Linked DNA regions of Rattus norvegicus. The protein of the gene in region 2 binds, or shares a complex with, the protein of the main gene of each other region. Links are inferred from orthologs where the notes say so. Each region holds a gene or a part of one and is shown on either strand. Other genes may lie near its edges. The genes, in order: Cetn3 and Nup93.

The links.
Region 1: Nup93 (region 2) and Cetn3 share a complex: the UniProt entries of both Homo sapiens proteins name them as parts of the nuclear pore complex. The link is inferred for Rattus norvegicus from reciprocal best matches to the Homo sapiens genes NUP93 and CETN3.

Annotation. Positions count from the first base shown.
Region 1 is NC_086020.1:13,823,508-13,828,115, reverse strand, and holds the start of Cetn3 (centrin-3), read right to left. Parts: upstream 3,026-4,608; 5' UTR 2,938-3,025; coding exon 2,921-2,937; intron 1,391-2,920; coding exon 1,255-1,390; intron 1-1,254. UniProt on the Homo sapiens protein: Plays a fundamental role in microtubule-organizing center structure and function. As a component of the TREX-2 complex, involved in the export of mRNAs to the cytoplasm through the nuclear pores.
Region 2 is NC_086037.1:10,790,934-10,795,314, reverse strand, and holds the start of Nup93 (nuclear pore complex protein Nup93), read left to right. Parts: upstream 1-1,377; 5' UTR 1,378-1,440; intron 1,441-4,381. UniProt on the Homo sapiens protein: Plays a role in the nuclear pore complex (NPC) assembly and/or maintenance. May anchor nucleoporins, but not NUP153 and TPR, to the NPC. During renal development, regulates podocyte migration and proliferation through SMAD4 signaling.

The DNA.
Region 1 (4,608 bases), on a different chromosome or scaffold from region 2:
ACAAGTGGGAAGTGGAGACAGTAGCATTCAAAGGTCATTGAGCGGAGGAAGCTTTACTTAGCATACAGGGGACAGCCAGAAACAGCTTATGAGCAACGAACATAGTCAAAGGATTCAAGAACAACAGGAATTAATGGTGGTGTAAAAGACAAGTCAGAAATGAGGACGCTCCAGCTATGAGACAAAGTCCCCATCTGTGATGGTCAATGACAACGAATAGCTAAGACACTGGACAGGAAGAACTCATGCTATGTGGAGGAGGGGAGCAGCAGCAAGAGAACAGTGGGTTAGGGAATGAGCTAAAGGAGGACCTCAAGACTGAGGCCAAAGCTTCAAAGTCTATTATTACTTTTAAATAGTCTATCATCTCGCTACATAGATTCTACCCCTATAATGTTAAAACTACTAAATGAACTTTTAAGGGTACTTAAAGAGATCAAAATGTGATCCTTCTTACTAGGCTGAACGTGAGAAATGTGTTCATAACCAATTTCCCCTTCCCTCTTTACTAGTAATTAAAGCCTTGGGTAGGACATTTTCCTTCTGCACGTAGCAACATTAGGCATCAGACAATTTATATCCTTTGTAACAGAGAAGAGTGTACTCTAAGAGTGTGCTAGTATTATCTTAAAAATTAAAAGTCAATCTCAAATGTCTGAGCAAAGTCAATGATCTCTCCATTTCAAAACTGTCAGTAAGAGTTCTCGCCCTAAAATCTTGAGGACCAGAGTTCAAATCCCCATCACTCATGTAAAGACAGGCATAGTTGTGGAGACAGCAGCGATCCCCAGAGTTCACTCTCAAGTGCTGAACTTCCAACTCAGGGAAATAGCCTGTCTCAAGGCAGTGGAGTAGAGTGATGGAAGATACACAGGCCCTATTCTGCCCACCACATGATACACAAGGGGATGTACAGGCCAGCAGGGGCACATGCATATGCCAAAAAATTTTGTTTTGTTAAAAATCTGAGCTATATCATCACACAGAAGAAAACAACTGTAGGAAGAACATGCTAAGAACTGTCCCTTTACTGGGTGAATGGAAAAGTTAGACTTCCCATCAAGATGCACTCTTACACTTAAATACAAGGTTCTAGAAGCCATACTCCATTTTTACTCCGTTTTCTTGTAGCACCTGTGGGTGGGCACTACAAACAGCCTCACAGTTCTGAAACAAGCTTCTAAAGTAGACTTTAAAGCAACAGGCACAAACGCAATTGAGTTAAACAAAAATGGATCTTAAATACCCTGTTACCTTTAATTCATGATAATCTATGGCTTGGTCTTTGTCGGTATCAAACAGTTCAAAAGCATCTTTAATTTCTTGCTTCTGTTCTTCAGAGAGTTCTCTTCGTTTTTTCCTTTTTGTTTTGTCTACTACAAGCTCACCTCTAGGACACAGAAAAATGCCTTTAGTCTACTTTAACCCAACTTAGGACAAAGAATCATTTTCTAAATTTCAACAGAGTAGTCTGGCACATAAAGAAACTGAGCCTAAGTTAACGTCCTGTAGTCCAAATGTACTTTTATAACCGAAATCCTAATCAAAGTTGAAAGCATCATACATATTATTCCTGTCATCTACCAAGAACATAAAAATAACCAAAAAAAAAAAACATACAAAAGTGAAATTCACAAATGACAACCAACTCACAATTACTACAAAAATCATCCATAAAACTTAAAAGATTACTTTAGCATTCTAAGTCCAAAATGTTTTTAGATTATACATTTCTAACAGTGCTTTGTGGTTTTATTCCACTGATATTAGCCAGGCAAACTATTAAAGGGCCTAAACATGCAAATACTAGGCGCCCAGAATCGCAGCATCTAATACTCGTGCTTAAGTCCACGACGTGATGTTTAAAAGTGTTTTAACTCTCACTTAACATGTAAACGATAGGTTAGACGTCTTCATTTAAAAACTCTGAAGTTTAAAGGAAATCTAAAAAGGGCACTTGGATCTGAAAATGTCTGCCTTAAGAGCTGCCAATGCAAAAAGCAGTCCAAATGTTTAAACGAGGATACGACACAACACGTGTATCAGCACGTTTTAAAAGATGGAAGCTTTAAAACCTCAAAATCTTAAAACTCGGCTGACTGTAACAGCGTCTCGTCAGGAACGCCCTCCGGGTGGACCAGACGTGGGAGATCAGTGCTGAGCGGGTGACGGTGGCAGCCAGGAATCTTTCTCACGTGACCCCAGCTCACACACACACACACACACACACACACACCCCCAGGCTAATGCGCGGTCACACACACACACACACACACACACACACACACTCGCCACACACCCACCCCAGGCTAATGCGCGGACACACACACACACACACACACTCGCCACACACCCACCCCAGGCTAATGCGCGGACACACACACACACACACACACTCGCCACACACCCACCCCAGGCTAATGCGCGGTCACACACACACACACACACACACACACACTCGCCACACACCCACCCCAGGCTAATGCGCGGACACACACACACACACACACACACACACACTCGCCACACACCCACCCCAGGCTAATGCGCGGTCCGGGGGCGCCTTTAAGTGTAGATGGACAGGGTGAGGAGCCAATGGGGAGGGGGGATGTCCGGAAGTGACTGGAGGGTGTCACGGAAACGAGATCCACCCAGGACGCCCAAAGCACAGCGTGCCACGGGACCCGGGCAGAAAGGCGAGCTCTCCTGTGACTTTCCGGAGGAAGCAGGCGGCCAGGCCCGAAACCCGCAGATGCGTGAGGGAAACCTCGCGAGACTTCACTCGGGGAGCGGCGCTGTGGGAGGCGGGGACCGCCGAGGTCTGATGCTCGGCACTCCTCGTCCGCTCCCGACTCGGCCTCCCTTCCACGCCCTCCCTGGCCCCTCTGGGGAACGGAGGCGCGGCCTCCTCGTTACCGACCTCAGAGCTAAACTCATTTTCTCTTCCGACAGAGGTGTTCCGCTCAAGGACTTTACCACGAGAACCGCTCAACAGCCACCAACCTCCACGGCCTCGGGGACCACCCACCTGACAGAAGTTTCTGGGTGCGATTGGCCGAAATTGCCAACAGCCGGCCCATTGGGGCGGAAGCGTCGATTGTCTTCTGTTTCCATTGGTCAGCATTCATGTCAGTCAAGTACACATTTCGCCCTGCTGTCTGTCTGACCCCTTGGATTGGCCAGATGCTTTCCTGAATCCTTTGCGCGCCTGTTAAGTCACCACGCGGGGTTCAGGCAGGCAAGGCTAGGCTCTACGGGTGACATGGTGCTGGAGTTCCGAGCACGCGTGCACAGCGTCGACCGAAGGAAGGGGAAGAAGGCACGGCACAAGCAGCCTGCTCAGACGGAGCAGTGATTGAGGAACCAGGTCTACAAAAAGATGTACAATTCTGGGTGGCTGGTACACCCGAGAAACTTAAATCTAAAGGTGATGTTCTCCAATCTTAGTTCAGTAACGACCAAGCTAAGCATTCTTCCCCGTACAGCTTTCCCAAGTGATTTTAAGGCAGACTGGATTAGTCTTTTCATTTTGTTGTTTTGTTAGGTCATGTACAGTGAGACTACCTAAACCATCCTTTTCTTCTGTGCGACTTGCAATGTATTTGTTTGCTTCTGCTCTTCACTTTCTAGTGCTGTAAACCTTGTGTGTGCATTCTATCTCCACTCCCCACCAAGCCTCTTGAAGCTTACTTCGATCACCAAGCTGCTAGACCGACTGTCCTCAAGGCCACAATTCCGTTTACACGAATATTTGTACCAAATGAAATATCTGGAACTTAGGTGTTCCATAAATACTTGATGCGTAAAACGAAGTCTTATTGTGGAAAACTTGGAAACTCCTGAGCTAACCAAGCAGTTCTTATAGGCATAAATACAATAAACTGGGGCTAGGTGTTAGAAAAGGGAAATACTATATCTAAATTTGTATGTGAAGGAAGGACACTGGGTAATTGGCTGTGTATGAGTTAAGCCTGGAGTGTAGATAGAAATTTGACTAGAGAGTTGGGATAGAACTAAAAAGTAATAGCTAAATGGTAGCATTCCCAAAACCAAAGTAGAGAAATGAAGAACTTGCTGGGCGTGGTGCTACATACTTTTAATCCCAGCACCCAATAGACATACAATCGGATCTCTGAGTTCTTTACATTGTGAATTCCAGGCCAGCCAGGACTAGTAGTGAGACTCTGCCTAAAATATAAAATTAAGTACTTTTATTTCTTAAATATTTAATGTTAACTATTTAGTGCACAGATATGAAGTTAAGTTAAACATTGTACAATTACCAGTGATTCATAAGTGACTGTTCTGGAGGCTGTACATAGATCATAGTGGTATGATAGGTAGAATAATAGCTAAGGCTACATCTTGGTATCCTGAAACCATAAATATGGTACCTAATAGGGGAAAAGATGTCTACGAGTCAAATTAGAATCCACACCTTGAGATATAATGTTAAAATGGGTCATGAGAGGGAACAGAGTCTAATCACAATGTCTAATTCTGACGAGTACAGGACTTTTACCCACCTGTGATCAGAGCCAGAAAAGACTTGTTAAGGCTCAGTCTGTTATCATGGTTTTGAAAACAGAGATGTAGAGAAGCATTCCC
Region 2 (4,381 bases):
TTGACCGATAAGTGTGTTTAGGTTCCCTAAGCATATCAGGCAAAGCTTAATAGAACACTTTATCAGGCAGGCATCCACCAAACTAGAATTATTAATGGTGACAATTTTATCTAGGCCTGTGTTCACATGTACCTCATTATGTCAGGTGGGTGACCTTCACTGAAAGATTAGACATGTCTGAGACTGTGCAACCCAAAAAATGCCTCTTTAACAAGTAAACGCTATTATGGGAGCTGAAGCAATGGCTTAGCATACTTCTCTTGCAAAGGACTTGTTGGGTTTCCTTCTTAGTACCCATGTCTCACAACCACTCCGGCAGATCCGATGACCTTTTTTGGCCCCCTTGGGCACAAGGACACACACACACACACACACACACACACACACACACACACACACGCACACACACACATTCTCCTCCCAGCAGTTGCTGAGATCTGTAGCTTGCCTGTACTGTTTTGTCTTTTCTTTTCTTTTCTTTTCTTTTCTTTTTCTTTTTTTCGGAGCTGGGGACCGAACCCAGGGCCTTGCGATTCCTAGGCAAGCGCTCTACCACTGAGCTAAATCCCCAACCCGCCTGTACTGTTATTTTTCTCTCAAACTTCCAGCAAAATTGTCTTCCTTCTGGGTCTGTTTTCAAATTTCTTTTTACTTACTAAACTAAGAACCTCCAGAAGGATTCTTATATATCCCAGTGACACACTTTGTTCCACTTCCCAACATGGCTACACTGAAGTAAATCTCTTTGAAGTTTCACCACTGTTCTTTTCTGTAATTGGCCTACTGGGGCAGGCGGCCAACCTAGCTTGCTTGTTCAGACTGCCAAAACACAGACTTTTCCCTTAAAAACTCCAAAACATGTTTTTAGCTTCCACCTTTTAGTCAGAATGTCACCTGAGAGAAGCCTTCCTTGGTAACCCAACCATTTTTCTTCAGTTAATTTGCTTTTCTGTTCTTAGCTCTCCTAATTACTCCTGTATTTATTCACTATATTTTGTTTCCCTGGCCAAGCTGAGAATCGTTTGAAGTCAGGGATCTTGTCTGCTGCGGAAGTCACCGTGTCCCCAACACCTAGAACAAGCCCAGGCACTTGCCTAGAGCTCTACAGCGAGTAGCTGAGCTCTCTGGTTTGGTCCAGCTGTGGGAACTGCGGAAATGCTTTCTCAAGTACTGTCAACCTGAACTACGTGGGCGGGAGAAGGGCGGAGCTCCCTTGACTTACTTGTAGCGACAGCTCCGCCCCTGGTTCCGCCCCAGCCCCGCCCACGTCTGTGTTCTCTTGCGGATCTCCATAAAGTTCACTTGGCGGCGCAACGCGCAGGGGCTTCTGGGAGCTGACCGCCTCAGCCAATCAAGAAGCGCGGGCGAGCGGCGCGAGAAGCGGCGGCGGCGGCGTAGTGAAGTAGCCGGGAGCTGGCGGCGAGCAGGCGGCAGAGCCAGGTAAGGCATGTGCGGCGTGGGCGACCACGCGACCCCGATCCTGGGCCTGGCCCGAGTTCGGGGTCTGGCCTCGAAGCAGAACCCCGAGCCTAACTCGAACTCCATCCTATGTTCGTAGCCACGAGGCTCGCGCTTCCTTTCTTGTGGTGGCTGGCTGGGCACGCCGACCGGCGACAGCTCACCGAGTGCTGTGACTAGGCTCTTCTGAGCGTGGTCCTTCCTACTGGTGCACTATCGCCACGCCCACCCACGGCTGCCAGGCGTCACTAGGCCTGGCTGCCCTCTGTGGGTCGTGGGGGGCGTTCTTCTAGAGAATGGCTTTTCCGGGTGAAGGGAGGCCACCCAGCGAACCCCTGTCAACTGTTGTCTCCTTTTACGGATAATCCAACAGGATGCTAATGGTTGCCACTCCGGTTGTCTCTTCTGTTTCTGGGTACCCTGTATCCTATCTTCTGTAAGGAGTGCCCAAATATATTGGGTCCCTTCTAAAAGAAAATCACAGCATGCCGGGCATGGTGTCACTGTCAAAGGGAGTTGGAGCCAGGCTGGTCTACATTAGACCCTGCCCCACCCCTACCTCACTAGATGACTTTCAGCACAAGCAAAGGTCAGCACTTTAGTAACAATAACAGTAATAATCATCATCATCATCATCATCATCATCATCATCATCATCCACCCCTAGTTCCCTAGATGACTTTCAGCACAAGCAAAGGTCAGTGCTTTAGTAATAATAGTAATAATAATAACAACAATAATATAAGCCCCCCCCCCATAGTGAGCTGTAAGGCTTTTAAATAATGTGACCCACATTCTCAGAGTCTGTTACACCCCCCCCCCCCCCCACCGCTACCACTGCTAGACATGCTTTGACTTCAGGTCTTAGTTCTTGTGGTTGGATGTCTGTTTTGCCAGCTCTAGAGGGGCATTTAGAGTGTAAACCTTTCCTCACTCCTTGTCTTCACTGCCTTAGTTGTATTCCAATATTTAGGTTCTACTCGACCTATGTCTTGTCTCTCCGCTGTAGAACATGAGCGCCTACCTAGAACCTGGGTCTGGCACACAATAAAGTAGGTGCTCAATAAATACCAAATAAATGAATGTTATTGATATCATTATAGGCTTGTGAATGTGGTGGTGAATGAGACAGGCTTGTTTCTTGGGAAGACATCATATATATAATATATATTATATATACATATGAGTGTATATACATATGTACATATATGTGTGTGTGTATATGTATGTATGTGTGTGTATACACACACACACACACACACACACACACACCATGAGAGATGAACTGTTGGAGCTGTGGTGAGTTTGGGGTCTCTGTCCCCCTCCCCCCTCCTTCTTGTGTGACTTTTATGTATATGGATATATGTATGGAGTCCAGAAGAGAGTGTCTGGTTCCCTGGAGCTAGAGTTACAGACAGCTAGCTGTAAATCACTGATGTGGGTGCTGGGAACTAAACTGGGGTCCTCTAAAGAGCTGTAAGTTTTCTTAACTGCTGAGCCATCTCTCTAACCCCTGGGCCTATGAGGTAGTTACATTTAGAAGTGTGGGTGTGTGTGTGTGTGTGTGACAGAGTAAAGATCAGGAAGAAGACCCAAGTCTGTTATGGTCACTGGTCATTTTAATTAGCAAACACATTTTTAGTTCTGTTGTGTGCCAGGCTTAGCTAGATGCTCAGGATTCAGGGTTAAATATTTGTGAACCTTTCCCTACAGGAAGACATGTTTGAGAAGAAGTGGTTGCAATTGCTCCACTAGGGAAGAACGTTCAGTATAATTAGGGAGTCCTTTGGGTAGGTTAGAGCAGCCCTCTGACTTGGCAGTATGCTTAGGAGCTCCCTGTGTCTGGTGAGGATGTGAGTGTACTTGACATGGACTGGAGCATGAAGGAAGGAAACTATGCAGAGCTTCCTAAGGCATAGAGAACTGTCAGGGTACAGCTGGGGAGGAGTCGAAGATGGTGCATGGCACTGTCTATTCTACAGAGCATGCAGCCAGGTCACAACCTGAGGTTGAAGGTGCCCCTGATGGTCTAAAGTAGGAGGTATTTTGGAATATCCACTTTGGCCACAGCAAGACTGGGTTAGAAGAAATGGGAAGTTTTAGGCTGTTGAGGTAATTGGAGGAAGTTATGAGGGTCAGAGCAGAGAGGAAAGGTGAGGGTGTGACTCGTTATGAGGTATGAGAAGTAAACTTGGAGATAGGCTGGGCTCGGGGGAGAGGGGAGCCAGATGGTTTCTGGTTAAATTGACTGTTGTGGGGACCTAAGATGAGGAACTAGAATTGTCGCTGGCACTCATAGATCAGTCAGGAGTAGCTATCAGATAGACGAGTAGAAAGAATTGGTTTGGAGAAAGAATTAGAATTTAAAGATGCAGGAGTTTTGTTTGTTTGTTTGTTTGTTTGTTTGTTTGTTTTTTTGCCTTATTTTATGGCCTCTTATAGTTCTCTCTCCTCTGTTTCAAATAACCTAAAGGTTGAAATGTTTTGTAGCTTTATACTTTGTATGCATTTGATTGTGTGTGTGTGTGTGTGTGTGTGTGTGTGTGTGTGTGTGTGTGTGTTGGGGGTGGTGAGATGCATGCCCATGCGTGTTTGTGGATGTCCCAGGTCAGGAGTCTTGAGGTTGGCGTTGGATGTTTTTGTTGCTTTTTGAGACAGCAACTCTCTCTGAACCTGGAGCCTACCAATTGGCTAGACCAGCTTACCAATGAGTCACCCAAGATCTACCAGTCTCTGTCCATCCCTCCCTCAGTGCTGGTGTCAAATTGATGCCACCACATTCAGCTTTATACATGGGTACTGGGGATTCAAACTCGCATCCTCACGCTTGCGCTGAACTCACTTTTCGCAGTCAGCGGCCTTCTGTTTGTAAGGACTAAAGGCCACTTTACTCCACCAATGCGCTCAAATAGTAGCTTAATCT